7 linked regions of the Ovis aries genome follow. The protein of the gene in region 1 interacts with the protein of each later gene in a biochemical or structural test. Links are inferred from orthologs where the notes say so. Each region holds a gene or a part of one and is shown in the gene's direction. Other genes may lie near its edges.

Evidence for each region.
Region 2: the proteins of LRRK1 (region 1) and TCF25 form a complex in vitro, tested with the Homo sapiens proteins (2 studies listed by BioGRID and IntAct, with this or other methods). The link is inferred for Ovis aries from reciprocal best matches to the Homo sapiens genes LRRK1 and TCF25.
Region 3: the proteins of LRRK1 (region 1) and ECHS1 form a complex in vitro, tested with the Homo sapiens proteins (2 studies listed by BioGRID and IntAct, with this or other methods). The link is inferred for Ovis aries from reciprocal best matches to the Homo sapiens genes LRRK1 and ECHS1.
Region 4: the proteins of LRRK1 (region 1) and STUB1 form a complex in vitro, tested with the Homo sapiens proteins (2 studies listed by BioGRID and IntAct, with this or other methods). The link is inferred for Ovis aries from reciprocal best matches to the Homo sapiens genes LRRK1 and STUB1.
Region 5: the proteins of LRRK1 (region 1) and NUDT16L1 form a complex in vitro, tested with the Homo sapiens proteins (2 studies listed by BioGRID and IntAct, with this or other methods). The link is inferred for Ovis aries from reciprocal best matches to the Homo sapiens genes LRRK1 and NUDT16L1.
Region 6: the proteins of LRRK1 (region 1) and MATK form a complex in vitro, tested with the Homo sapiens proteins (2 studies listed by BioGRID and IntAct, with this or other methods). The link is inferred for Ovis aries from reciprocal best matches to the Homo sapiens genes LRRK1 and MATK.
Region 7: the proteins of LRRK1 (region 1) and POLR2M form a complex in vitro, tested with the Homo sapiens proteins (2 studies listed by BioGRID and IntAct, with this or other methods). The link is inferred for Ovis aries from reciprocal best matches to the Homo sapiens genes LRRK1 and POLR2M.

What each region holds. Positions count from the first base shown.
Region 1 is NC_056071.1:4,897,986-4,901,542, reverse strand, and holds part of LRRK1 (leucine-rich repeat serine/threonine-protein kinase 1), read left to right. Parts: intron 1-2,815; coding exon 2,816-2,987; intron 2,988-3,557.
Region 2 is NC_056067.1:14,244,929-14,248,704, forward strand, and holds the end of TCF25 (ribosome quality control complex subunit TCF25), read left to right. Parts: intron 1-438; coding exon 439-526; intron 527-1,001; coding exon 1,002-1,160; intron 1,161-1,254; coding exon 1,255-1,345; intron 1,346-1,745; coding exon 1,746-1,825; intron 1,826-2,806; coding exon 2,807-2,879; intron 2,880-2,964; coding exon 2,965-3,123; 3' UTR 3,124-3,234; downstream 3,235-3,776. UniProt on the Homo sapiens protein: Component of the ribosome quality control complex (RQC), a ribosome-associated complex that mediates ubiquitination and extraction of incompletely synthesized nascent chains for proteasomal degradation.
Region 3 is NC_056075.1:51,217,351-51,220,471, reverse strand, and holds part of ECHS1 (enoyl-CoA hydratase, mitochondrial), read left to right. Parts: intron 1-1,045; coding exon 1,046-1,150; intron 1,151-1,596; coding exon 1,597-1,901; 3' UTR 1,902-2,741; coding exon of another isoform or gene 2,742-2,809; 3' UTR 2,810-3,121. UniProt on the Homo sapiens protein: Converts unsaturated trans-2-enoyl-CoA species ((2E)-enoyl-CoA) to the corresponding (3S)-3hydroxyacyl-CoA species through addition of a water molecule to the double bond.
Region 4 is NC_056077.1:1,117,792-1,122,058, forward strand, and holds STUB1 (E3 ubiquitin-protein ligase CHIP), read left to right. Parts: upstream 1-1,481; coding exon 1,482-1,640; exon of another isoform or gene 1,641-1,646; intron 1,647-2,131; coding exon 2,132-2,330; intron 2,331-2,416; coding exon 2,417-2,582; intron 2,583-2,623; exon of another isoform or gene 2,624-2,769; coding exon 2,770-2,857; exon of another isoform or gene 2,858-3,002; coding exon 3,003-3,059; exon of another isoform or gene 3,060-3,146; coding exon 3,147-3,263; exon of another isoform or gene 3,264-3,339; coding exon 3,340-3,465; 3' UTR 3,466-3,726; downstream 3,727-4,267. Other genes in the region: uncharacterized protein LOC101103616, read right to left, coding at 1-134, 235-387, 560-719, 852-945, 1,353-1,483; JMJD8 (jmjC domain-containing protein 8), read right to left, coding at 3,773-3,853, 3,943-4,077, 4,161-4,228. UniProt on the Homo sapiens protein: E3 ubiquitin-protein ligase which targets misfolded chaperone substrates towards proteasomal degradation.
Region 5 is NC_056077.1:4,365,094-4,369,104, forward strand, and holds NUDT16L1 (tudor-interacting repair regulator protein), read left to right. Parts: upstream 1-1,201; 5' UTR 1,202-1,213; coding exon 1,214-1,366; intron 1,367-1,448; coding exon 1,449-1,709; coding exon of another isoform or gene 1,710-1,786; intron 1,787-2,412; coding exon 2,413-2,634; 3' UTR 2,635-2,635; intron 2,636-3,446; 3' UTR 3,447-3,723; downstream 3,724-4,011. UniProt on the Homo sapiens protein: Key regulator of TP53BP1 required to stabilize TP53BP1 and regulate its recruitment to chromatin.
Region 6 is NC_056058.1:17,992,045-17,996,041, forward strand, and holds the start of MATK (megakaryocyte-associated tyrosine-protein kinase), read left to right. Parts: upstream 1-1,144; 5' UTR 1,145-1,271; intron 1,272-1,708; 5' UTR 1,709-1,803; coding exon 1,804-1,809; intron 1,810-2,414; exon of another isoform or gene 2,415-2,496; coding exon 2,497-2,556; intron 2,557-2,934; coding exon 2,935-3,048; intron 3,049-3,135; coding exon 3,136-3,251; intron 3,252-3,339; coding exon 3,340-3,559; intron 3,560-3,960; coding exon 3,961-3,997.
Region 7 is NC_056060.1:50,699,586-50,703,833, reverse strand, and holds the start of POLR2M (protein GRINL1A), read left to right. Parts: upstream 1-1,411; 5' UTR 1,412-1,545; coding exon 1,546-1,658; intron 1,659-3,341; coding exon 3,342-3,989; intron 3,990-4,248.

The sequences.
Region 1 (3,557 bases):
TGGGGAGTTCATGCTTTGAGCGGTTGATTGGTTATTTGATGAGTAAAAATGGAGTAGGTACAAAAGTGTGCATGCTAACTATCCAGCCCAGTTTCAAAATGCAGGGAGGGCAGGGACTCGAGGGGCATGTGGGTTCAGTCTAACGGCACTCTGGCTTGGTTCTCAGGGCCTCCTTTCTCTACTTCAGTCTCAGCTGTTTCCTGGGTCTGATGCTGATGTTGGCCATGAGGCAGTGGCCAGGATGCCAAATCCCCAGACCCTTTTGATGCCTGTCATAGAACACAGCACCACCCGGCCCCTCAACCCCAGAGCTCTGGGGGAACACCCTCGGGACCCTCCGGGGGCTGGCCTGGCCACTCTATGGCCAGCCAAACAATTCCATCAGCACAGTCTGGGTCTCTTGGGAGCCAACTCTGGGCCATCGCTTCCTGAGCTCCCACCCATATATCCACTTGGCCTAATGACTGTGGGAGGGGCCTCAGTCCTTCCTGCTTCAGCCCCATGGGGACCAAGAGTGAGTCCTAAAAAGAGAAACCCCAAAGGGGAATTCAGAATCCACATGACCCCTCCCATCCTGGCCCAGGTGTGTCCTTGACTTTGGCCCCTGGTAAAGCAGCCTGTGAGTTTACAGCATTGCCGGAATTTGACAGTTTTCTGATTATTCTATCAGCAGGTTAGAGGAATGCGGAAATACTCTCACTCTGTAAAAGCAACTGCCTCTTTTTTTCCTCATATGTAAAATAGAAATAATACTATCACTTACTAGTATTATAGTCAATGTGAGGATTAAATCAGAGGGTACGTGTGAACTATGAAACGTATCTCCTGCACCTTTGAGCTTCAGGGACATCCAGGATCATCAATGCTGTTATTGTTACTATCTTTGCGTTAAGTACTCATAGTCAGTGGTGTCTAGTTCCATCTAAAGTCAGGAGTGTCTGAGCACTATACCTACCTCTAAGTGTAGATATAATGGGTCCCTTGTACCCCAGAGACAAGGAGTTTCAGCTCTTTGCACCATAAGCTTTTATATGATCAACAAAAACAAAGGCATTTGCTGCTCCTTTCAACCTGCAGTCCCTGGGAAAACCTTCAGGGCCTTTCTAAACCTCTCTCTACACTTTCGAGTGTTTGTACTTCTTCCAGGCGGGGATGCACTGGCTCTCAGCACTCGGGGAAGGCTCTGGCCCAACTGCTAAGACAGCCTCAGGGACGTATCATGGACTGGCTCCGCCGTAGTGCAAACCCCGTGCAGTGCCCAGGTCTTCATGGCTTTCTAGTCAGCAGGCACGTGAAGAACTCCCCTCTTAGTTCCCCAAGCCCACACCTTTGGCAGCCCTGCCCTGTTAGTGGTCGCTCTAAAGCCAGTGCTGGTGGTTTCGCCCAGGGCTCTGCTCACATTGAGAGGGGCTTCCTTTGCCCATCAGTTTAAACCTCTTCACTTGCCATTCTGGCTTTTAAGTCATCCGTACCTTCAAAAATATTGAACACCTGCTGTGTGTGCCACGTGCTGGGGCACCTGGGTACAGAGTGTGCCCCCTCCCTCGGGCACGCTGGCCAGATGGAAAAAATTGGGAAGTCCCAGGGCACAGCCACGGAGGGGGTCCCATGTGCCCAAGCTGAGCATGGCATAGGCAGAAGAAGCAGGCTAGATCTCACTGGGCACTGACAAGGGCCTCCTGTTTGAGGTCAGAGAGATAAAGGACTTCTCAGAACTAAAAGGCATGTGCCAGAGAATTCCTGGCTGTGGAGAGAGGCACTCCAGCTGGGCTCATTGGCAAGGTCCTTTGGGCCAAGACCTATAATGGCTGAAAAGGACCGAAACGCCACCATCTGTCCCCTTGGACCTCACCTACACAGCCACTGTCCGTTCTTCTCTAACCCTGCAAGGCTGGCATCCCCACTCTTCTGCCATTAAGGAAGCAGAATGGCAATGAGATTAGGCCGTGTGCTGAAGACACCCTGGGGACTCCACCCCCAGGCTGTCTTTGAATTTTCCTTCCATAGTGTTTTCAGGGGTTTCTTTCAGAAAGTCCTAAAAACATTTTATAGGACCTACACTAATGGAATTTTAAAGGATTAAGAGAACTGAAAGCAAGCCTTTAAGGACACACCCAAGGCTCTGCCCAAGGCCATCTTAGCTCCTCCAGGACACACAGAAGATGCTGGTTTTCAGGGAATTATTGGAGGGACCTCCCTCGTTTCAGCTTATTAAAAGTGATCACAGTCATGAACAGCTCACTGACACTGCAGTTCAGTCCTTTTATGAGTAAGACTGCTCTTATAAAACATCATTCTTTTGCACAAAGAGCCTCATTCGAAATTTCAAGGTAATTGTGTTATCTCAACTGGCCAAGAACAATAAATAGCTTCTCAGGCCAAAGACATTTCTCTGACCCCCGATATCTTGTCCTTGGAACTGTGCAGCTGTATTTGTTTTTCCTTCACCATCCGAAGTTAATTTTAAGTAACTCCCCAATCGCAACCCGGTTTACAGAGAACCGACTGTGATTTGTTGTGTCTGTGTTTATGACCACAGATGTTTTCACGTCTTCCCTCGCCGTGTTCTAGTCTCTATCTTAGAGACTTCGACAAACTGATTCGCTATGCCCATCTTCGTTTTCTCTTGGAGTATTTATGCTCACCATATAAACTACCCCCTCTTTCTAAAAATGGTTCCAAAGGCCCTGGGAGGAAGGCATCGGGCAACCTGCGCTGCTTTGGCAGATCCCGCCCCAGGCCAGACTGCCTGCAGGGGTGAGAGCCCCAGAGCAGAGCTCAGGCCTTGGCTCAGCAGCCCTCTTTGGTGTTTCAGCTACCTCCTGCCGCATCTGCTTCCGTCCAAACCCGGCCTGGACACCCACGGCATGCGGCACCCCACAGCCAACACCATTCAGAGAGTGTTTAAGATGAGCTTCGTTCCGGTTGGCTTCTGGCAGAGGTTTATAGCACGGATGCTGATCAGCTTGGCTGAGATGGACCTCCAGGTAGTTGCGTTTTCTGCATAGGGCACTATTTGCTTGCAGGCCAAGCCCCTGCGGCTATGCCCTGGTGGGAGTGGGGGGAGGGAGACACCCTTTGCTGGAGGAGCCTGACTGAAGACCCTTTCCTGCAGCAGAACTGCTGGCTTAGGGTCCGGACACTGGGACAGCGTGGCTGCCTCCTCTCCTGTGGGCCACAGACCCGCTTGAGTCATTCTGTGAATGCCAGATCAGCACCTAGCTGTCTTGGACAGACTATCCCATGAGGAGCAGTGGTTTCAGTCTTACCAACGTCCACATTCCCTGGCTCTGTGGCTGTGGACCGGGACTCAGAGTCTGCTTATCCAGACACTGACCTTGAATATGCTGTTGCTCAGGGATAATGCCCAGAAGAACCATGGTTTTGCCATTCAGGCTGTGACTGAACTCCCCTGGGGAGCTCTTAATAGACACAGACCAACAAGTCAGAATCTGTGGGTATGGCACACAGGGATCATATTTTTTAAAGCTCTCCAGGTGATTGATTTCACTGTCCAGTCAAGCTTGAGAACCACTGGCATAGAACTTTAACTTGGT
Region 2 (3,776 bases), on another chromosome or scaffold:
TGACCTGCCGGTTTCCATGGGCCCCTGAAGTCTGGCTGTGTGGATGGGAACAGGGCCCGCTGCCCTATCAGGCCCTGGTGGTGTTGCGGTCCTGTGCTGTGTGTAGTTCCTGAGGGGCTCCCTCCCCGGTGCGAGCCTGCCTGCAGGTGGCCTGGTTGCTCAGGGTCTCCTGCTCATCTCGATCTGGCTCCATCCACGCATGGGGCTGCTGGGCTGGGTCTGAGGGGAACTGACCTTGCCCCGTTGAGACCCCTGCACAGGGAGGTCACCCGCTTCATGGGGAAGCCCCATGGGGCAGGTGGGCAGCTGTAGTGTTGTCCATCCCAGGGAGAGTGCGGGGGGAGGGTCTCTGATGACAGCGTCCAGCGCACGTGCTCCAGAGTCCTGGGTGAGCCCCTCGGCCTCAGCGCTTCAGGGTGCCGCCCTGCTCCCCCACAGTGCTCATGCCCCTGCTCGAGTACTGCAGTGTGCGCCCCGACGCCACCGTGGCCACGCACCACTTCTTCGGACCTGACGCCGAGATCAGGTACAGACTGGAGGTGCCTGGGGCCTGGGGAGCAACCACCTAGGTGTCAGCCTGGGGCCACTGCAGCGTGTCTGCTGGGCGGATAGTGTTGCTGTAGCTGTGCATCTGGTCCGGATGCCTGTGTTGCCACCTGCTACCTTTTGAAATTTCTCATAATAAATGAAGAAAGACCTGTGACGGGAGCCAGGCACCTCAAGGCTGGTCAGCACACCAAGGCGGGTCCTCAGGTCTATGTCCACAGGTGTACACGTTCTCCGAGTGTTTATGTTGTCATTGGGGAACTTGTTCTTAGTAAGGGTGCTGGCTGTACAGAAGGAAATGCCAGGGTGCCCTGCCCTGGGGGCCGCATCCCAGGGCAGCAGCCCCCTCGGGGTAGCCTCCTTCTGCTCTAGGTTGCCAACAGCCTGGGACCCCCAGAGCACCAGTGGGCCTGTGGAGCCGGTCCATGGGGTCTCACAGTCCCCGCTGCCCACAGCCAGCCACCTGCTCTGAGCCAGCTAGTGAGCCTGTACCTAGGGAGGTCACACTTCCTCTGGAAGGAGCCGGCCACCATGAGCTGGCTGGAGGAGAACGTGCACAAGGTTCTGCAGGCGGTGGACGCCGGGGACCCCGCTGTGGAGGCGTGTGAGAGCAGGTGAGCCAGGGCGTGGGAGTGGGCAGTGTGGAGGGCCGGCCTGTCTCGCGGGGCCGCGGCCTCCTGCAGCGCCACCCTCATCTCCCGGCCCCAGGCGCAAGGTGCTGTACCAGCGCGCGCCCAGGAACATCCACCGGCACGTGGTCCTGTCTGAGATCAAGGAGGCCGTGGCTGCCCTGCCGCCGGTAAGGAGCAGGCTGACTGCAGGCTCTGTCCCTCCAGCAGCTCTGCCCCCCGGTCATGGTCCATGCAGAGCCCCCTGAGAGGCAGAGCCATGCCTGCAGCTTCCGTGATCTTATGGGGTGCAGAGTGGTAACCTGGCGGCTCAGGGCCCATGGCCTGTAGCCAGCAGCCCTGACATTTGGGGGGAGTCACAGCACCTGTGAGCAGAGGCCCTGTGATCCCCACACATGTGCTTGTCCCGGCTTCACCCCGATCCTCAGAGCAGACAGGCTGAGTGTCCTGGTGGAGGAAGCCCCTGCCCCAGACTTCCCCGACAGGGAATGCGGCCCGCCCCCAGCAGAAATGTCCAGTCCAGAGCTAGGTCAGTTGAAAGCAGACCATGCTCTTTGTCCCTTCCCGTAGGATGTGACCACACAGTCTGTGTTGGGCTTCGACCCTCTACCCCCACTGGACACCATCTACTCCTACGTCAGACCAGAGAGGTACTTCTTGCTTTGCTTTTGGGCTTGCACTGCTCCGAGGTCAGTGCTGGGGCTCGGAGGGTCTCAGAAAAAAGAGTCAGCCTCTGCAGGCCGTGTGTTTTCACATATCTGTCCACCCAAGGCCATTTCTCTGTCAGATTCTGGAGCAGGTGGTGGATACAATGGGATGTGGGTATTGAATCCAGGAGTAAATGTAGTCAGAACTGATGTAAGAACCTGGAGGAGATAGCCGTGAGCCTGGGGTATGAGAGGCAGCTGGTTTCCCATGGGAGCTTCAACCCGTGCAGGCCCCAGGGACAAGTGTCCAGCACAGCCAGAGGCTGGGAAGGAGGCCCCAAGGCCCGATTATCCAGGCTGCTCCAGAATCATGTCAGAGACAGGCTTTTTTCCCTTTCCTGATGGCCTTTAGCACTGAGTGAGTAAGTGCTTCACTTCACGCAGAGCCCACCTCACAGTCCCCAGCCTAGGAGACCCAGACAGACTTTCTCATGTCCAGGGCTCAGGCGGACGTATTTTCTAGAGCCAAGTGTTTTTTTCCTCCATTGAGGTATAAAACTTCGGGTACACATTCATAAGGAAATACAGTCCCCAGTTAAAATGTCAGTGGGTTAAGATGAAAATTATTAATGATTAGTATCAGAAGGCTCAAAACCAAGCTGGCATGTAGGGTGTGGTCCCACTAAGGACAGTTGGGAGCCATCCTGGTTCCAGGCGCCCAGAAAGTGCAGGAGGCCCCCGAGATGCACTTGCTAGCATCATCTCTCACTGCACAACTCGGAGGGAAGGACACTTGGAAACATAGCTTTTCTCAAGATGCAGTGGGGCTCGGCTGCAGTGCCCCACTTTGCACTCTGCTCAACCAGCCTCATTCCAAAGGGCCAACCCCACTCTAGATCCCCTTCCCCCTCAGGCCCCAGCCTCCATGGGGGCTGCCCTCCCAGCCCACCGGGCCTTTCTGAACATCCTGACTCCCTCCTGCAGGCTCAGCCCCGTCAGCCACGGAAACACCATCGCCCTTTTCTTCCGCTCACTGCTGCCCAACTACACTGTGGAGGTATGTGGCGTCAGCCCACGGGGCACCAGCCTGAGATTGGGCATTGGGCCTGGAGGCCCGGCTCAGACGAGTCTCGTTTCCACAGGGGGAGCGACCAGAGGATGGGGGGCCTGGGGGTCTGCACCGTGACCAGGGCCTGAACAGACTGATGCTGGCCGTGCGGGACATGATGGCCAACTTCCACTTCCACGACCTGGAGGTGCTGCCCGAGGAGCACCCTGAGGGCGATGGGGAGTGGGACTGACTCCAGCGAGGCGCACGCCCCAGCGCTGCACAGTCGTGCTCCGGGTTCTGTTCTGGTCGGATCGGCCAGGTCGCCACCTGCTCTGCTCTTCTATAAACTATGTGGGTTGCACTCTGCCGCGTGAACTCTTCTTTCCCAGGGCTGCAGTCGCCGCCCCCAGCTCCCCTCATGGGCAGGACCTCGCCGCCACTGCCCTGCTGCCCCAGGGCATCACAGGGCCAGAGTGCACGCTGGCTTCAGGGGACGCGGGTGGGTGTGGAAGCCGAGAGATGTGTCTTGGGAAGATTGCTCATCCTGGCAGCTCTGGGGAGTGAACGAGGCAGAGACTAGGGGGCACTTGATCTGGGGGCAAATGGACTGAGGGGTGGAGAGGGCGAAGACTAAGATGCTTCATCCAGGATGCGTCCTAGCACTCTTGAGTGACAGCTCAGAACCACACAGGCCACCCATGACTGAGGACGCTGTGTGGTGGTGGAAGGATCCAGGCCACTGAGGTTGTGAGTCCCACTGGGTACTCTTGTCTACTGAGCACCCTCCCAGCCCTGACCTCTGCCCACAGAGGCTGCCAGGGCAGATGCTCCAGGGCAGCGTCTGGGCCCCAGGCTGGTCAGTGTGGCAACAGGTGTGACCCAGTCCTCTCCTGTCAACAGCCA
Region 3 (3,121 bases), on another chromosome or scaffold:
TGAGCCTGGCTGCGCTACCTTCCCCGTGGGGTGGGCGGGGCCTGGGGGCCTGGGGCCCTGCCAGCCCCTCTGGACTGGCCGCACGCTGGCTTCCGGCCGCAGTGACTCTTGCTGCTGAGCGTCCGGGGTGGGTCCTTGTAGGTCAGCAGCTTGGAGAAGGAAACACGGAGACCACGGGCCAGCACCGAGGGCTCCTGTTCCAGTGGCCAGAGCGAGACCCGTGGCCTCAGCAGGTTCAGAGCAGGGAAGCACATCCCCCGCGGGAGGGCGACAGGAGCGGCAGGCCAAAAGTGATGCCTCTGCCCCTCGGCCCACCTGACGAGAGCTACAGGCTGTGTCCCCACAAAGTCTCTACCTCAAGTGTAGAGCCGGGAGCCCAGCGTCTCTCCCAGGCCAGCAGGCCAGGGAGTGGGCAGGGTGGGGTCAGCTGAGGGGACCGCCAGGCTCTCCCTGTCCCAGTGCCCAAGGTCCCCACCGTGCTGAGGCAGTGCTCGAGTCTGCTGGGCCGTTGGTGCCTCCCTCATGTGGCCACTCGCCTCGCCCTGGCAGCCCTGGGGTTCACTGTGGGCAGGTGAACGGGCAGACCGGTCTTTCCAGTCAGAGGCTGTTGAGTGGGCGGGGGCAGGGCCCGTGGAGGCCAAGTCCACGTAGGGCTAGACACCCGAAGAGCCTGGGAGAGGAGCACATCCCCAGGCCCGTGAGGCAGGAGCCTTGCCCCCGTCCCACTCTGCGAGCAGAGCCAGTTGTGATCGGAGGCTGCCCCCAGCTGCCCCCCAGGGTGGGTCAGATCAAGGTCTGCGAGCTCCAGGCATCCATCCAGAGTCTGACTCCTGCACGAGAGGCGCTGGTACAAGGGCCCCAGGGCACGAGGCAGAGGCCTGAGTGAGTGTGGGAAGGAGGTTCCCTTGTGATATCTGGGTTTCTCCCAGTTCTGCCCACCCCCAGCCGAGTGCTGTAGGTCTTCAGGCCCTAGACACTTGCCAGCAGCCTGTCTGTGGCTTCTTGGCCACAGCGCGGCATGCCCAGCAGCCCTCTGCCCCTGCAGGTGCAGGGGGCACCCAGAGACTGACCCGTGCCGTTGGAAAGTCACTGGCCATGGAGATGGTCCTCACTGGTGACCGGATCTCAGCCCAGGATGCCAAGCAAGCAGGTATAGGCTGGGGCCACCCCATGGAGTTGCCCCCTTGGGAGCTGAGTGGAGAGGGGAGGGCCTCACCCAGGGACTCCCACAGTGATTAGCACAGAGCCTTCTGGCGTCCTGCGAGTCCAGGATACTCACTGCCTGTGTCTGTTTGAAATACCACCACGCACAGCAGAGTGGCTCAGATGTCCACGTGGATTAAAGACTAACAGTGAGACCGTCGCACTTCTCAGAACCTACGTGAACGGTGGGGGGTCTCCAAGACCCTGCAGGCAGGCCCGCTCCGGGCCCCTCAGTGACCTTTGGCTGTAAGAGCCCCGTAACCTCGACAGCCAAGGGTGGCAGCCCCACCAGGGCTCGCTGAGGACCCTTGCCTGTGTCTGGTGGAGGCCTGCGCTGTGACAGAGAACTAGGACCGGCTGTTTCCACATGCTGCTTACCTTTTTGTGTTGTAGGTCTTGTAAGCAAAGTTTTTCCTGTTGAGACAGTGGTTGAAGAAGCCATCCAATGTGCAGAAAAAATTGCCAGCAACTCTAAGATTGTAACAGCGATGGCCAAAGAGTCGGTGAACGCAGGTAGGGGGGAGGGGAGGGAGGGGAGGCCGCACGGGGCAGTCGCAAGACTTGACAGTTGGGGTCTGAACTGTGCGTCTCGATTGATCTGGACAGAAATTGTTAGGGTTCTCAGTATTTCGATTTTGGCTCTTTGTTGCGTTCTAGTCTCTAGCTGCTTGCTCACAAATTCTGTTGAACTGGTCTGAGCTCCCCTTGGAAGCAGGACCTGAGAACTGGGCCAGCCTGGGGGCCAGTGCTGGCGAGCAAGGGGCAAGGGTCCCCTGCAGAACCTGGGAGGAAGAAGTTCCTCTCTGCTGCAGCTGCGCCTGACTGTCCAGGGGTGAGCCAGGGGCACCTCTGCCCTCCTGGCTGAGGGTCTGGGCTCAGCAGCCACTCTTGACCAGCAGAGCAGCTCTGACCACCCCTCTTGAGAATCGCTTACATGTTAACACGGTGATTTCGTCTCAGCATTGGAGTGAGGCTGTCCCTTTGCTTGTTCCGCTTGTGAGGGCAGTGAGTGTACCTGGAGGGCCACACTGCCCCAACCCTGGCTCTGCTCCCTGGGCTCACCCGTAAGTGCATGGAGCGTGTGGTGAGGCCCGGGGCACCTGTCACCGCCTGGCGCTGGTCACGGGACCTGGCTGCAGATGCTGCTGCAAAATCTTCCATGAGCCTCGCGCCCGCTCGCCTCTGCTGCAGACTTAACCTGGGCCTCGCTCCGTTCTGCCCACACCTCCGTTTTCGGTGTCGTCCGTACTTATTTGTCGTGCTTCTAGAGTCCACATTCCTGGGCTTCCTCAGCCCCCTTGTGACTGGACAGTTTTCCATCCCACCTTCCACGCCGGTCCCCACACAGGACACAGGGGAGCCCGGGAGCAGCTGTTCACTGGGCTGCAGCCGAGGCGACACCCTGGAGAGGGAGGCTACACTTTAATCCCATGACATCAGAGTGCACGTCGGTCCCCAGGCTGATTCCTGCCTCTGGAGAAAGTGCTGCACTCCCAAGTCTGTGTCTCAGCTCCTCACTGCAGGGTTTCCTTTTTCAGCTTTTGAAATGACATTAGCAGAGGGCGTTAAATTGGAGAAGAAGCTCTTCTACTCAACTTTTGCCACCGTGAGTAGCCTCGTTCATGCGGGAAATCACATGGTCCAGCCGTGAAAGTTCTGGAATTTGCTTGTAGATTTTATCACCATTTCTCTCTGGTCAGAGCTCATAGCCTCTCTGTAGCTGGGCAGTGACATTTGCAAATAAATGGGGCTTCCCTGGTGGCTCAGACCATAAAGAATCCACTGCAGTGCGGGAGACCTGGGTTCAGTCCCTGAGTCAGTAATATCCCCTGGAGAGGGGAATGGCAGCCCACTCCAGTATTCTTGCCTGGAGAATCCCAGGGACAGAGGAGCCTGGCAGGCTACAGTCCGTGGGGTC
Region 4 (4,267 bases), on another chromosome or scaffold:
TGGCCTGGTGTCCTCAGCGGGGACCAGGTTGGGACCCAGGTTGGGCAGCAGGTCCGGGCACATCTTCCGCCCTACAGCCCAGGTCCACAGGGCCGTCTCCACGTGGTGTGGGGTCCACAGCCCAGATGCACTGCCTAGAGAAGGGCAGAGAGAGTCTGGGGCTCGGAGATACCGATCTTCCTACGGTCAGAGAGAGCTCTCCGTGACCACCCGGGCCGCCCGTGGTCTCCGCACCTTGGCTCAGGGCTGTTGCACGCTCCTGCACCCGGCTCAGGTAGAGCAGGTAGTGCTTGACAGTGTACTGCAGGGCGGGCAGGCCGGGCACTGCGGCCACTGCCTCCTCAGACATGAAGGCTGCCGCCTCAGGAGCTCCGGCAGCCAGTACCGCTGTGGGCAGTGAATGGACAGCACTCAGCCCCGCCTGGGCCTGGGGCTGCTGTCCCCAGCGACTCTCCTGTATCATGTATCTGGCCGTCGGACCATTTCATGGATAAGGACACTAACAGGCCAGGTTCCGCCAGCGACCCTGCCCGGGGGTGGTCCAGCTTTCCCGACTAACCCGAGGCGGTAGCCGGGCCCACGCCACGGAGGGCGCACAGAGCCATGACCGCTGCGTGCATGTCTGGCAGGAGGCGGAAGGCGGCGGCCGAACGCTGCACCACCAGCTCCGGAGAGTTGGCGGCCACGAGTTGCTGCAGGCGCGGTCGGAAGCGGCCCCTCTGTGGCCAGGTCGGGTCGGGTGTCACGGGTGGCGGCCCTCGCTGGGAGGCCCCTCAAGACTGCCACGAGGGTGAGCCCCCTGGGAAGCCCCACCCACGTGGCTGTGCCGCGCCCCAAGTGGGAAGCCTTACCGCCAGTTTCCACGCCAGCAGCCGCTGCAGCTCGTCTAGTGTCACGTGCTTCTCCGCGCGGGCCCCGATGGCCGCGGGCAGCTCCTCTCGGTACCTGGGGGAAGGCGGCGCTACGGAGTCCGGGCCACGGGGCTCGGCCCGCCCGCCCCTGCCCCCTCCGCCCTACCACCGGTCCAGCGCTTCCAGCCGCCCCTGGGGGCCCGCGCGCGCCCGCAGCACCGCCCCGCGGCACTCCAAGACGGCGGCCCAGCGGCTTGGGTCCTCACAGCTCCAGAGCCCGCCAGCCGCGGCCATCTCCCCGCGCCAGGCGAGGCCTCGGGGGCGGGGCGTCGGAGCGCGGCCGGGCGGGCGTCTGCCCGGGTGACCCAGCGCGTCGCAAACCTTGACGCCGCGTCGCGTTGCCAGAGTCCCCCTCCCTGCCGGCCCCGCCCCCACAGCGCGCCGGGGGCACGCACGGCCCCGCCCACCCGTGCGGCGGTCCGCTCCGCTGGCCCCGCCTACCTGCAGACCGGAAGTTCCGGTGGCGGAGCGCTGGACCGAGCCCGAGCGGATCGCGGGCTCGGGCTGCGGGCGCAGGGCGGGCTGGGCGCGGAGCCTGGGAGCGGAGCCCAGGCGGTGCCGTGCGGCGCCATGAAGGGCAAGGAGGAGAAGGAGGGCGGCGCACGGCTGGGCGCCGGCGGCGGCAGCCCCGAGAAGAGCCCGAGCGCACAGGAGCTCAAGGAGCAGGGCAACCGGCTCTTCGTGGGCCGCAAGTACCCGGAGGCAGCGGCCTGCTACGGCCGCGCCATCGTGAGTGCGCCCGCGCTGCGGGAGGGGCTTGGCGTCCGAGCCAGGGGAGGGGCCGAGCTGCGGCTTCTGCCGCGCGCCCTCTTCAGAACATGTCAGGCCGTGCCCGCCAGACTTTCGGAGGGAGGGGGTGGGTGCTTGGGGTCTGGGGCCAAGGCCGCGCCTTTCCCGAGCCAGTGCGGGCTGCCAGAGAACTGTGCTGGGTGGGAACCGTAGGTGTTCGAGGCCCACTGGGCTGGGGACCAGGCATCCCTGCCCCTTGAGGAGTCAAACGCGATGCTGGGGATTTCCATGAGTCCGGGAAAACTACCTTCACAAGACTCATTGGAGTCCAGAGAGTGGGCTCACGTAGGCTTCACCCTCCCTCAGAACCCAGGGGCTTGGAAGCTGAGAAAATGCTAGTGTCTTGGTTCCAACCGCGGGCCTCAAGTTGGGACGGAGTGGGCAGGCTGAGCTCACTCCCTCATGCTGGCTGGCCCGGCCTTGGTCCCCAGACCCGGAACCCCTTGGTGGCCGTGTATTACACCAACCGGGCACTGTGCTACCTGAAGATGCAGCAGCACGAGCAAGCCCTGGCCGACTGTCGGCGCGCCCTGGAGCTGGACGGGCAGTCTGTGAAGGCACACTTCTTCCTGGGGCAATGCCAGCTGGAGATGGAAAGCTATGATGAGGCTATTGCCAACCTGCAGCGAGGTGGGCTTACAGGCTAGCTGGTTCCAGGGTGCCTGGGACCAGGTGGGTGGACTGGTTGAAGTTTACCCAAATGCTCTATCCCCCAGCCTACAACCTGGCCAAGGAGCAGCGGCTCAACTTTGGGGATGACATCCCCAGTGCTCTGCGCATCGCAAAGAAGAAGCGCTGGAACAGCATCGAGGAGCGACGCATCCACCAGGAAAATGAGTTGCACTCTTACCTCACACGGCTCATTGTGGCTGAGCGTGAGAGGTGGGCTCCCCCTCTTCGAGTCACCACTCTTAGGTTAACTCTGAGGTGTGAACACAAGTGTTTATTGAAGGCCAATTCTGGCACGCAGGAGATGGAGGGAAAGGGGCCTGAATGATCCTAAGTCTGGAGTGGAGTCTGACTGCCCCTGGCCAGACCCATCTCTGAACACCTTTTGGTCAACCCCCAGGGAACTGGAAGAGTGTCAGCGGAACCACGAGGGTGACGAGGACGACAGCCACGTACGGGCCCAGCAGGCCTGCATTGAGGCCAAGCATGTGAGGGTGCCCCAGCCCGAGTGTGGGTCCTGTGTGTGCGTGCGCTGTGATGTGAGGTGCCCTGGCTCCTGCTGGGTCTGTGTCTCGGTGTCTGGGGAGGGGAGAGGGGTGTCAGGCCCACAAGTGGCTGCTTGGTTCTTTGCAGGACAAGTACTTGGCAGACATGGACGAGCTCTTCTCCCAGGTAGACGAGAAGAGAAAGGTGAGCTGCCCGTCTTCTGGGGCCGGTGGGTAGCTAGAGCAGTGTCCCTTCCCAGCCCCTGACCTGATCCAACCCTGTGTGCTGCAGAAGCGAGACATCCCTGACTACCTGTGCGGCAAGATCAGCTTTGAGCTGATGCGGGAGCCCTGCATCACGCCCAGTGGCATCACATACGACCGTAAGGACATCGAGGAGCACCTGCAGGTGAGGGTCTGTGGGCGCTGGCAGCAGGGCCCACGCGCACTGAGCAGCCCCTGACTCTGCCCTGTTGTCACTGCAGCGCGTGGGCCACTTTGACCCTGTGACTCGGAGCCCCCTGACCCAGGAACAGCTCATCCCCAACCTGGCCATGAAAGAGGTCATCGATGCCTTCATCTCTGAGAATGGCTGGGTAGAGGATTACTGAGCAGGGTGGGTGTATGGGCCACCCACCTGCCTTGCCCGGTACCCTAGTTCAGGAGGGCCTTGGGGCAGCAGCCCCTAGTTTTCTGTATATAGTTTGTGTCCCTGGATCCCTACCCTGGTGTCCCCACCCCCACCCCCATCAGTTCTGCTGGGCAACACGCCTCTCATCCTCCTTCTGGGCCGGAAAGGGGGGGTGAGGCTGGGCTGGGCTGAGGCTGCTGCCACCACCTCTGTCCCTGTAATAAAACCTGTGAGTACTGCAGGGATGTGTGCTGGTGTGCGGTGGGCTTGCCAGCCACCCCCTTTGGCTAGCCGAGGAAGGTAGAGATGAAGACGCTGGTGTCGAGGTTGAGTGTGGCATGCCACCATCGGTCCGGGAAATACAGCACCTGGCGAGGGGTTGGGGGGACATGTGGGTTGATGGGTTGGATGGGGGTCCTTGGCCTGGCTCAGCCTGGCCCGTCTGCCAGCCACTGACCTCACCAGCCTGGATAGTGCATTCCAGGGGCCGTGCAGATGGTGTCAGGGCTGGATATGTGTCCTGGAGCCAGGCCAGTGTGGTTTTGTTGGGGTGGAATTCGGGTGTCTTCTCAGGAGGGTACAGGAACCAGCGCTGGGGGTTGGCGGGGAGCAGCAAAGTTATGCTTTGTATTTTGGTCAGTGAACCCAGAGTCTCAGCCTGCACCCTGTGCTGACCTTGCGGCCATAGATCACCTCCGAGAACCCAGGTCCATGCCAGTGGAAGGGCACCCCAGAGCCAGCTCCTGTGAGGCAAGTTAGGAGCACCTGGTTACCAAGCTTAA
Region 5 (4,011 bases), on another chromosome or scaffold:
AAAGTGGGCTCTTGTGTAACACTGGGCAATGAATAGTCTGAGGAGACACTCCTGCTGACAAAGCAAGAGACTTTACTGGGAAGGGACACCTGGGCGGAGAGCAGGAGGGTAAGGGAAGACCAGGATGGACTGCTCTGCCTTGAGGCTCACAGTCTCCGTTTTACGGTGATGGGATTAGGTTCCAGGTTGTCTTTGGCCAATTGTTCTGACTCAGGGTCCTTCCTGGTAGCACAGGCCTTGTTCAGCCAAGATGGATGCCAGTGAGATGGATTCTGAGAGGTGGTTGGACATGTGGTGTCACTTTTTGACCTTTCCCGAACTCTCCCAGTTGGTGGTGGCTTATTAGTTTCCTGTTCCTTACCAGGACCTCCTGTCCTAAAACAACTCCTGCAAACAGGAACTATGGTGCCTGGCCAGGGTGGGCAGTTTCAGTGTGCTTACCCTACCAAGCTGGGAAGCTCCCTGCCCGGGGACTTCAATCACTTCTGCCCCAGCAGGCGGGGCTTAGGGAGCCCCAGGGCTCCTCAGCATGCACCCCCACCCAGTTCAGCGCTAAGAGTGGACTGGGACTATGGCCCCCGCTGTCCTGCTCTTCTAGAGGCAGGCCGACGGCAGCAACCTTGGATTCCAGTGCTCAGCCGGTGGCAGAACGATGGGGCTGGCATGCCTGCAGGGGAGGATTCGCCCTGTGATGCCAGGGCTCAGCTGAGGCCCCAGAGGCCGGCGCTGGTCGAGCCTGGAGCTGGCGGCGGGAGCCCCGCCGGGCGGCGCTGCCAGGGGCGCTGGGGGAAGCCCCGGCGCAAAGTGATCTTGAGACTTCTTCCCTCTTGGGGCGGGCAGGCTGAGCCTGGACTCCACGGGCGCCGCCCCCGCGCCGGGGACCGGGAGTCCGCGCTCCACTCGGGTGCGCTCGGGCCGTCGGGCCTCCGGGCCTCCGGGACCCTTGGTCCGCTCGGGCCGTGGGCGGGGCACGCTCTGGGCGCGCGGCTATTGGGCGGTGGCTGGGGCGCGCGCCGCCGCGCCCCCGCGCACGCTCCTTGCGCCTCGCAACGATGCGCCGGGGCGCCGCTACGGCTGTGCCGCGACGCGCGCCGGCGATTGGTGGAGGGGCGGGGGCCGGGGCGCGGCTGCCCGCGGATTGGCCGCGCCGAGCGGGGGTGGGCCGCGCACGCACTTAAGGGGCGGCGTCCGGGCCGCGGGTGCTGGTGCCAAGATGTCGGCGGCGGCGGTGCCGGAGCTGAAGCGGATCAGTCGGGTGGAAGCGATGCGCCTGGGCCCCGGCTGGAGCCACTCGTGCCACGCTATGCTGTACGCCGCGAACCCGGGTCAGCTCTTCGGCCGCATCCCCATGCGCTTCTCGGTGCTGGTGAGGACGCGGGCGTGCGGGCGGCCGGGGAACGGGGCACCGCCGCTCGGACCCGCGCCCGTGACCCGGCGCTCCGTTGCAGATGCAGATGCGCTTCGACGGGCTGCTGGGCTTCCCCGGGGGCTTCGTGGACCGGCGCTTCTGGTCGCTGGAGGACGGACTGAACCGGGTGCTGGGCCTGGGCCTGGGCTGCCTCCGCCTCACGGAGGCTGACTACTTGAGCTCGCACCTGACCGAGGGCCCGCACCGCGTCGTGGCGCACCTGTACGCGCGGCAGCTGACGCTGGAGCAGCTGCACGCCGTGGAGATCAGCGCGGTGCACTCGCGGGACCACGGCCTGGAGGTGGGGCCGCCGCCCGGGCCCCGGGCCCCGCCCCCCGCCCCGGGGTTTGGCTCTGGCCCCGCGGAAGGCACCGATGGGTAACACGTCCCCCTGAGGGTTCCCTGGCCGGGCTGGGAGGGTCACGCTGTCTCAGCTTCGGGGTGGGGAGAGGGACCAGGGGCCGGGCAGGGTGGGAGGCGGGCCGGGGCGCCCTCGGGGCTGTGTTCCATCTGCCTTGCTGCCTGCCATTGCCAATCCTGGGAGTGGGGGCGTGGGATCGGTGGGAGGCTGGGAAGGGGCGGTGCCTGCCCCGGGGGGTGTGAACTGCAGAGTACAGAAGTCTGGGTTCTCGTGGTGGGGGCGCGACGGTTCTTTCTAGTTGTGGGTTTCATCGCCTAGAAGGCCTGGGGGTGACACGGGGTGTTTGGGATTCATCAGGTGGAAGAGGGAGCATGGGGTCTGGACTGGGGGCTTCGCCAGGGACTGAGGGCTAGGACTTGGGGGCGGGGTACGTGCATGGGGGCAGGGGTTGAAACTCGCTGGGGGAAAGGAGGAGCTGTATTTTCCCGAGGGAGCCGGTTGCCCCCCACCCCCGCCAGGGCCTCACATTATGTCCTGGTTCAACCTGGCTGCCTTACCCCCAGCCTAGTGGCTCATCAGCCCCTCCTGCAACGGCCCTGCCGTCCCCAGGGCCCTGGTTCCAACCCTCATCCCCTGTCCGCAGGTACTGGGACTCGTCCGTGTCCCTCTGTACACCCAGAAGGACCGAGTCGGGGGCTTTCCCAACTTCCTGAGCAACGCCTTCATCAGCACAGCCAAGTACCAGCTCCTGTTCGCCCTCAAGGTGCTCAACATGATGCCGGAGGAGAAGCTGGCTGAGGCCCTGGCTGCCGCCACGGAGAAGCAGAAGAAAGCCCTGGAGAAGCTGCTCCCGTCTTCCTCCTGAGGTGCCTCCTGTACCCTTTTGCCCCTGCCCCCCTTCCCCAGTTCTGTCTGCCTGTGGGCTGTGTTCCTGCAGGCCTGTCTTCTAGCATGTGCTACGTTTGCCCCACCTGACTGGGGGAGTGGGCACCTTGTCATTTCCAGTGCCCTGAGCAGTTACTGGGGGGTGGCCTGGGCACACCCATGCTGAGGCACATTCCACACATCTCACTGTGGACTGGAGGGGGCGGGGGGCCCAGGGGCTGTCTGACGCCTGTTGGTGCACGCACAGGGCCCTGGAGAAGCTGGTTGGTTCTCAGGGCAGTTTTATTCTTGAGGAGGCCCACCACTGGGTTGAGTCTTTCCTGCATCTTGCCCTGAGCCAGCCCCAGCCTGAGCTAGGTGTGACACTGTGAATTTTGGTTGTTAGCTTTACTTGCGGGTACCTCCTTGGGTTTGGTCCCTGTGGACAGGCAGGGCCATGGGGCCCAGGTGTAGATGCAGCTGCTGGAGGGACAGGGAAGCTGTGTGTTCTTCGGTCCTGGCTATAGGCCTGGGGTAGACGCAGGTGTCCTTTCCCTGCTTCCCAGGGACTGAGGGCTGGGGCTGAGCCTGATTGGTGCTCTGGGCCCTTGAGATTGGAGCCCAGGCCGCCTGCCCCTCCCAGGCAGGGTGCGGCCACCTCCCTGTGGGTACTGTGGCCCTGCCCGCTGTGGACACTGGGCCATGAGCCTGATCCGGTGGTTTCTCCATGGAGAGTGACAGGCCTTCCGCCCCTCTCCTGGTCTGGGTGGCTCTGCTCTGGCCTGCTTTGAGAGCCTCCCCCTCTGTTGGCAGCACCCTCCGCGGGCACCCCCAGGAGACGGTCTGGCAGCACCGGCTGAGTGTGCAGTGAGAGTGGAGCCGCCGGGTCAGGAGGGTCGCCACTGGCGGTCTCCTAGGTATGAAAAGACTTCTCAGTGATGCTGAGGTTTCCGTGGTACCAGCCTGGCTGGTAAGGACAGCAGGTTCCTGCCCCAGCCTGGGCACCCGCCTTGGAGCCTTGGTGCAGCGCTGGCACGTGTGGGCAGGAGCACTGGCTCTGTAATAAAACACCTGAACCTTGTTCCTCTTATTTTCTGGGGCGTGCTTCACTTGCTAGGTAGCTTTGTCGGGAGGGGCTCTGTGCACAGGTGGTCCTGCCACAGGGCCAGGGATGGGGCAGCAGAGGTCACCTGTCTCTGCGCTTGTTACGTGGCAGATGGCCCTGCCCTCCCCAGCGCCGCCCTCCCCTTGCTGTGCCTCATCAGCCAGGACCGCAGGCCAGCACTGAGCCCGCACCACCGGAGTGCAGGTTTTATTTTCCCACAAATGGCCTACGCGGCTTAGGGGCCCCAGGCCTCCCCACTTGGGCGAGCCTCCG
Region 6 (3,997 bases), on another chromosome or scaffold:
CACAGTTTCCTAGTTTTTGGTGCATAATATTGCACGATATTGAATATCTTTAATTCTTGTCTTGCACTTAGCTGCTCGTCGTATCCAACTCTTTGCCACCCCATGAACTGTAGCCCATCAGGCTCCTCTGTCCGTGGGATTTTTCAGGCAAGAATACTGGAGGGGGTTGCTATTTCTTCCTCCAGGGAATCTTCCTGACCCAGGTATTGAACCCACTTCTCCTGTGTCTCCCGCTTTGCAGGCAGATTATTTATCCTCTGAGCCACTGGGGAAGCCCCTGATTCTTCTCATTGGTCTCTATTCCCAGAAATCACACGACATCTTGGTGCACAGACACTTAGACTTTGGGGGTACCAGAAAATTAAATTCTGGGCATCTTGGTGCATCACCCTCCCAAGGTCAGCTTCATCCTTGTCCTCACAGACTCATTCATTCATCCATTAGAAAGTATTTGAAGTGAGCTCACAGAGGAAAGGCAAGGGCTGGGCCCCCAGGCCTTCAGATGCTCACGGAACTCCCTTCTGAGCTGGAAGCTGGTGCTGCCTGACCCTACAGAGGAGGAAACCGAGGCTCGAGCTGGGTTGGCCTTGGGGAGGCCCAGTGTTGCTCTGCCAGGAGGCTTCCAGTTCCAGGTGATGTTTTCCCCTTTAGTCTCAATTCTCCCTTAATTTCAAGGATGATGATAATATTCATGGTGGTTGACATTTTGAGGGCTTTCTTTGTGCCAGGCACCAACAGCTCTTTCCTAGGGCCAGGTACTGAAATAAGACTCTTGTTATAGTTGGCTAAGGGCGTTGGAGTCAGAAGGGTCCACTGAGTTGTCTGGACTCTGAGACTTACTTACCTGCCCAGACGGGAAGCTCTCTCCTTCCCCTCCCTGTGCCAGCGCTGTCCTCTCTCCGGGAGGCGTGGATTCCCGGAACGCGCGGGTTGCGCGCCCCGCGGCGCCAGGCCGGGAAGTGGCGTGGATCTCGACAGCGCCGCGCGGGAGGCGCCGGGGGCCCCGGAGGCGGGGCGGGGAGGGGCCGCCGGTGGCGGCGGCGCGCGGAGCAGACCGCAGTGCGGCCGGCGCTAGGACCCGCGGGGGCCGCTCAAGCTGCCGCGCCTCCCGCTCCCCCCACCCCGATTCCAGCCCTTCCCCCCCAAAATGAGGAAACGCAGCAACTTGCTCCAAGTTGTGCAGCCGGGGCCGCCTCGGGGTGCGCAGCCGGCGCGCGGGGGCCCTCCTGGGGGCGGACACGGAGTGCGGCCCAGGGGCGACCCCTGAACAGGTGAGGGCGCCGGAGGGGATAGTGGGGAAAGACCGTAGGACAGTGGGGGGGGCCCCAAGGGCCAGCGGGTAGGGGGATGCTGGGCGAACGAGGGAGGGGCCAGTGTGCGAGCGCCCGCGTCCGGGGCGTGCGGCCGGTACGCGGCTGGGGCGGGTATGGTTGGATGCGCCCAGGAGTCGGGTGGGGTGGTATTTTTGTGGGTGCGGGTATGCGCGTCTGCAACCCCTGGGTGTGTGTATCCGCGCGTCCACGTGGAGGGATGTGCGCGCGTGTCTCTGCGCTGCGTGTGCGCGGCCCTGCGTGTAGCCCTGCGTGCCCGGGTGGCCCAGCGTGTGGCGCCCAGGTGTTCAAGTGTGGGTTGGGGGGGGCGGCACACACGTTTCCGAATGTCTGTGCGTGTGTTCACACGTGAGACGTGTGTGCACAACTGTCTCTAGGAGAAACTGCTTTTGCTTGCATACCCGCGTGCCTGTGTCCACCTGTGTCCAAGCCCTGTGTGTTTCTGTGTGTTCTCGTGTGTACATGGATCAGTATGCGTGTGAGTACACAGAGGGCTGGGGATTTCTAGGGTGGAGACTCACTCCTCCCCACCTGTCCCACTGCTCTCGCCACCTGGTGGGATCCGTGGGGAAAGCAGAGGACAGAAATGCCCCCACCCCAGCAACTGTGCGGGACTTTGTTTCTGTCCTCTGTCCTCGGTTGGGGAGTAGGGGGGAGCGGTGTGGGGGGGAGTCAGATCAGAGACCCAGCCGGCAGCCAGAGGAGCCCAGCAGGGCGGCACTGCCGGGCCTCACCCCCGCCAGGGTCAGAGATTCTTGGGAATGACCTTGAATCATCCTCTGTTTCCTCATGTACCCCTGCCTACTTTACCAGAAAAGAGGAAGAACCAGGCTCCGTTTAGTGGCTCCAAGCGCCCCCAGTGTGGGCTGCTGGGGCCTGAGCCAGCCCCTGGCCACTCACTCTGAGCCTGCCCTGTGCCTCTGTTTCCCTTTGGGGATGACGGCGCAGCCAGGCTCCATGCTAAGGAACTCTCCCAGGGAAAGACCACCTCCCCTAAGGGGCTTGGGGATCCAGCCCTTGGGCCCCCCACAACCCCTGGGGGTTTGGGGGAGCCCGCCCGACTGTCGCCTCCACCTGGTCCAGGCTGGAAGCTATAGTCATGGCCCCTGGGCCCCCAGCCTGGCTTGAATCTTGAGCTCTCCAGCTGGTCTCTGCCCCTCCCCAGGGAAGCCCTCGCTTCCTCCACGCCTGGCACCCCTCACCCATCTCAGCCAGGATGCCGACAGTGAGTACTCCCAACTGGGTGCCTGGGCCTAGGCCCCTCCTCTCCTCCGTCCACAGGGCCTCAGCTCCACGGGGCTGGAGGGTGGGGGTGGGGGGCCATCTGACCCGTGTCCCCTTAGGCAGTGTCCGCAGGTCTTTTTCGGTCACTTGGTGTTTTTTCCCACTCTTTCCTCCCATCTTCTGCCCCGGGGGGTCCCTCTGTTTGTGACTCCGTTTCCCCTACTGGGTGCTCTGCGCACCCCCCACCCCCATCTCCTTTCTCCTGTGGTCTGTTCTGGGTCTCTGCCTCAATACAGTTTTTCTCTCTCTTTTGGGCCCCACCCCCCACCTCCACCATCTCTCTCATGACCCTTTTCCCACTCTCGCCACTACCCCCCAGAGGCGCTGGGCCCCTGGCACCCAGTGCATCACCAAGTGTGAGCACACGCGCCCCAAACCCGGGGAGCTGGCCTTCTGCAAGGGCGACGTGGTCACCATCCTTGAGGCCTGCGAAGTGAGTAGGGGGGAATGTGCTTGGAGAGAGGGGGGTGCTCCTCCAGGAAACATCTCCTCCCACTGACCCCTGGCTCCCTCCCGGCAGAACAAGAGCTGGTACCGTGCCAAGCACCACGCCAGCGGGCAGGAGGGGCTGCTGGCGGCTGGGGCGCTGCGGGAGCGCGAGGCCCTCTCGGCGGACCCCAAGCTCAGCCTCATGCCGTATGTCGTGGGGAAGCGCCCCTGGGACGTGGGTGGGGTCAGCAGGGCCCGGCCAGTCCCACCCAGCCCGCCCTTCCACCGGCCGCAGGTGGTTCCACGGGAAGATCTCGGGCCAGGAGGCGGTGCAGCAGCTGCAGCCGCCCGAGGACGGGCTGTTCTTGGTGCGGGAGTCCGCGCGGCACCCGGGTGACTACGTGCTGTGCGTGAGCTTCGGCAGCGACGTCATCCACTACCGCGTGCTGCACCGCGACGGCCGCCTGACCATCGACGAGGAGGCCTGCTTCTGCAACCTCATGGCTATGGTGGAGGTGCGGCCGCCCAGGCCTCCGGTGTAGAGATGTTGGCGGCCAGGCTTCAGCCTGTCCCAGCAGCTGGGGAGACATGGGACCCCCCCAGAGGCTCATGCTCCCCAGTGTGGACAAGGAGGCGCTGGTCCCTGGACCACCGACCACAGTTCCCCCACTCCGACCCATCTCCAGGGATACCCAGGAACCTCCAGTTTGACACCAGTCCCAAGACACACACCCCCATCCTCCTGTTTCCATGGAAACCAGCCTAGAGAGTCCTGTGGGAACCCACCCCCTCTCTTCCTCTTCAGCGCCCGCCCACCCCTCTGGAGAACCCCCTGGGAAGGGGATGGGAGGCAGGGGCTCCCCGGATGTGGGGGGTCACACTCACGGCTGCCTCTGCCCTGCCCCACCCCCTGCAGTATTATAGCAAGGACCAAGGGGCCATCTGCACGAAGC
Region 7 (4,248 bases), on another chromosome or scaffold:
CCACAGGACAAATACCTGACAAGGGCCTTTCTTGAGTATTTCTCACTTAGAAAGCTATGGAGCAGGTTACTGAAATCCTTGTTTCAAAGCAGAGTTTATGTTGAGACTTTTGATATGTTAAACTGATCAGAATGGACTAGATTGTAAGGATACAGACACAGTTTCAGCTGTACTTCCTGAAATAGCCTCATATTTTATCTAGAGCTTCCCTCTGATTGGGAGGGAATTGTTTGTTACAGCACCTTACAAAGGACTAGCAAATGTAAATTTTCCGTATCAAAGAAGGGAGAGACTGGGGTTGGAGGTTATAGGGTCTTTCAAACCTCACAACTGATGTCTGTTAAGACTATAGCATGCTTCCTACTTTTTTCTTTGGGATCCAGCTTTCTTACCTGAACTATAGAGAAGAGTTAGGTGTTACACTGAAGAGTTAGCAGTTACACTGCTTTCCTCAACAGCCTAAAAAACTTTCTTGCTCTTTGCAAGATTTTTGAATTGGGGTGGCAGAAAGACCACCTGGGCATTTGTGTCTACAGCAATGATGTTCTCACTTACTAGTTTTGTGCCCTGGGAAAACTTCAGTTTTTGTGCCTTTGTTTTTCCAAGGGCAAAACGGGTAATTGTGAAAAAGAGGTTCTCCGTTTGTTGTGCAGCACCTCCTACTATCATCACCTCTTGTGGGCCTTTGAAATCGTGTGTGTGTGTGTGTGTGTGTGTGTGTGTGTGTTGGGGAGATGCATTTTGTACTGTTACAAGGACTCAGGAGTGTGTGTGTTGGGGCGGCGGGGGGCGGGGGTGCGTTTTGTATTTTTAGGAGGATTCAGGAATGCCAAACCAACTAGAGAGCAGAAACCCAGACATCAAATAGACACCAAATATCTTGCAATACCTGAGGCAGTCCTGAAAACGAGGAAAAGTCTTGCTTCAAATGCCACAAAGCCGCCTTAAGAAACGCTGATGGTTCTGAATGATCCTCCAACATTAATGTTTGAGGTCTTCACTAAACCCAGAACTAGCAAGGCCACGCCATAGGCCAGGGCTTCACGTGCCCGGTACATACTCCAGCTTCACTAATGGTTAACCAATTCATCACTCCTGTTTCCACGTGTCTTTCACTTCTTCGTTATTCCTTCCTTGGTGCCCATAGCCGTCTTACAATTCTTCCATTTGTTAATTGATTAATGTCTGCTCTCCTCCCTCACTCAGCAGACTCCTTCAGGACAGGGCCCCAGGAACTCACTTTTTCTGAATACTTAAGCCAAGACCCAAGGCACAGGAAGAATAAGCAACTAGAAAGCGCGCCCCGCCGGCGCGTGACGTCACCCCGCGATTCCCGCCCCGGCCGCCACTCCCTCAACTCTGTCCGTGTTTATTTCCGGCGTTTCAATAAAGCTCGATTCGGCTAGAAGAAGACTTGTTCTTCCGGGAAAATGGCGACTCCCGCTCGTTCGCCGGAGTCCCCGCCGGCCGCGGATCTGGCGCCAGCCACGGGGGCTGCCGAGGACGCCGAGTGCCCACCGCCTCGCCAGCCTCAGCCCCCGCAGAATGTCCTCGCTTCCCCGCGGCTTCGAGCCCCAAACTCCCGAGGACTTGGGGCAGCGGAGTTTGGCGGAGCTACGGGAAATGTTGAAGCGCCAGGAGAGACTTTTGCGCAACGTGTAAGCTTGGGTCCCGCGAAGTCACCGCAGGGTTCCTCGCGTTGGGAACCCTGGGACGGGCCCCTCCCCGCCCCCATCCCGATCTCTTTCCTGGAAGGTCACCTTGTCTTAGGTCCGTTCCAGGCCCACGGGCTAGTGGCCGGCCTACAGTCACAGAGCTACCGCGTACAGCCCGGGCGCCGGGCGCCCGTGTTTCTGGCTCTCCAGCGTTTCAGCTCCTCTTTGATTTTACTTACTCAGTGCCTGTGTCGGCCCTCCAAGGGGAGGGTCTGTATCCCCAGTCCTTTCGCTCCCTTTCCGCCAAATAGTGCCCCAAACACCTAGTAAGTTTCATCTCTAGATCCCATTTTTTTACAGGAACTGTAGGAAGTGGGAAGAGTAGGGTAAAAGAGTGGCTTCTTAGGCAAAGTAAGTTTGGTTCACACTTAGCTGTTAGACTTAATGGATTTTAGCAGAGAATAGGTGTAAAAATAATGATTTTTTTAGGAAGCTTATTTTAGCAGTTTGGTGCAGGAAAATTTGAAGGAATAAGAGGCAGAAGAGACTAGGAGGTATTTTCAGAGAAGTTCTCCAATAAGGGGATTCTAAAAAAGTGAACTAGAAGGGTAGCTGTGGGATTGGGGAGACTAGATCAGGCTTAGGATCATTTGAGTATATGGTTGACAGAGATGGCTGAAGTTTCCAACCTGTATGGAGCACCATTAATAAAAGTAGGAAAACTGGAGGAGGGTAATAGTCTGACACTGATTTTACTTACTGGAGCTTAGTTAATGGAAAAGTTAATTACATTTGATTGAAAGCTGGAGAAGTGGTCATGAGGCTGGAGAGAGAAGAGAACGTTGGGAAAATACAGACCTCTCAACTGGGAGGAATGTTAATAGAATTAGGAGAATGAATGTAGTGTCATAAAGAATAGAGGGTGTGAGCTGTAACCTTCCCTCCACATTTATTGTATGGCTAAAGAAAAGGAAATCAGAAAAAGAACTTTTGCCACTTAGCCAAAGTGGCAAATGATCACTTGGGGATTTCCTGGTAGAGACAACTATTTTGACTGTGAGAATGAGTGAGTTAACTTTTTAGCCTCAGGACCGCTTTAACTCTGAAGACTTACTGAACATTTTGAAGAGCTCTTGCTGTATGTGTGTTATATCGACTGATAGTTATCATTGTCTTAGGAGTTACAAGTGAGAATCTTTAAAACACAAGAACACAAAAACGCATTCTATTAGCCATCAGAACAATGCTATCATCCATATCATGTTGCCTCTGGAAAACTCCCCTGTACTCATGGTAAGAAAAGAGAGTGAAAATGACAAATAGTACCTTAGTTATTATAAATAGTTCTGACCTTGCAGATCCATCCACCTCCCCTCACCAGGAAGGTCTTGGAAATCACACTTTAAAAACTGATTTGGGGCATGTCTTATATTAATATCATGCTTAAAATACTTCTGCAGAAATTCTAATTGTTAATAGATGAGACAAACAAGACATAGTCCCTAATCATCCTGTAGTCCCTTGTTTTGAGGGGTATTTGGGTAATGATTCTCTTATTTCCGGCAGCTGGAAATCAGTTTTTTGACTTAACGGTCGATTTTTCTCCCTTTGAGAATACTACTTTGTATATCTCAAGTTTAAAAACATGGCTCTATGTAACGTATACCTATTCTTTTCCTTTTGTAGAAAATTCATTTGCAAATTGCCCGACAAAGGTAAAAAGATCTCAGACGCTGTCACCAAACTGAAAGCTGCCATTGCAGAACGTGAAGAAGTTAGAGGAAGAAGTGAACTCTTTTATCCTGTTAGCTTAGACTGTAAGGAGAGGCAAAAAGCGATTGCAGTTGTTGATGGGGGCAGAGATAAGGCCCAGAATTCTGACCAGATACTTGATACTTCATCACCTGTTCCTGGCTGTTCGTCTGTAGCTAACATCACATCATCTCAGACAACCTCACGACAACAGGGACTGGAACATCTGACTCGCGGAGGTGATGCTGAGGCAACTGAGGCTGAACACACAGTGAGCAAGCACCCACCTTCTAGCAGCAGAGCCCCAGCACCTTCCTCATCTGAAGCTAGTGAGGGTCTCCCTCAGCATTGTGCCTTAGGTCAAGTGGAGGATCATCCTGGCAGCTCAGACAACCTGTTCATTGATAGATTGCAAAGGATCACAATTGCGGATCCCACTGAACACCACTCAGAAGGAAACCAGAGTCCTGAGAACTTGGCCGGCCTCTGGAGTAGGCCCCAGAAGAAGCCTCATTACATGGAAGTGCTGGAAACGCGAGCCAAAAATCCCATGCCCCCGCCACATAAATTTAAAACCAATGTGTAAGTACCATCAGAAACAGGCTTGTTACAGGAGCATGATATTTGTTAAACTCCCAAAACTGGGAGACTGCATTAAGTTCAGTGGACTTGGTATGAGAACTGCTTGTACTTGGGAATGAGCGTATTGTAGAAGCAGTAAAACGAACATGGCTGGAGTGGAGGATTCTGGCTGGAAAATGCTTTCTTTTTTTAGCCAAGTAATTGAAAAGGTTTTCAGTAGCAGATGGGACATTAAACTTCAGGATACTTAGGCAAAATT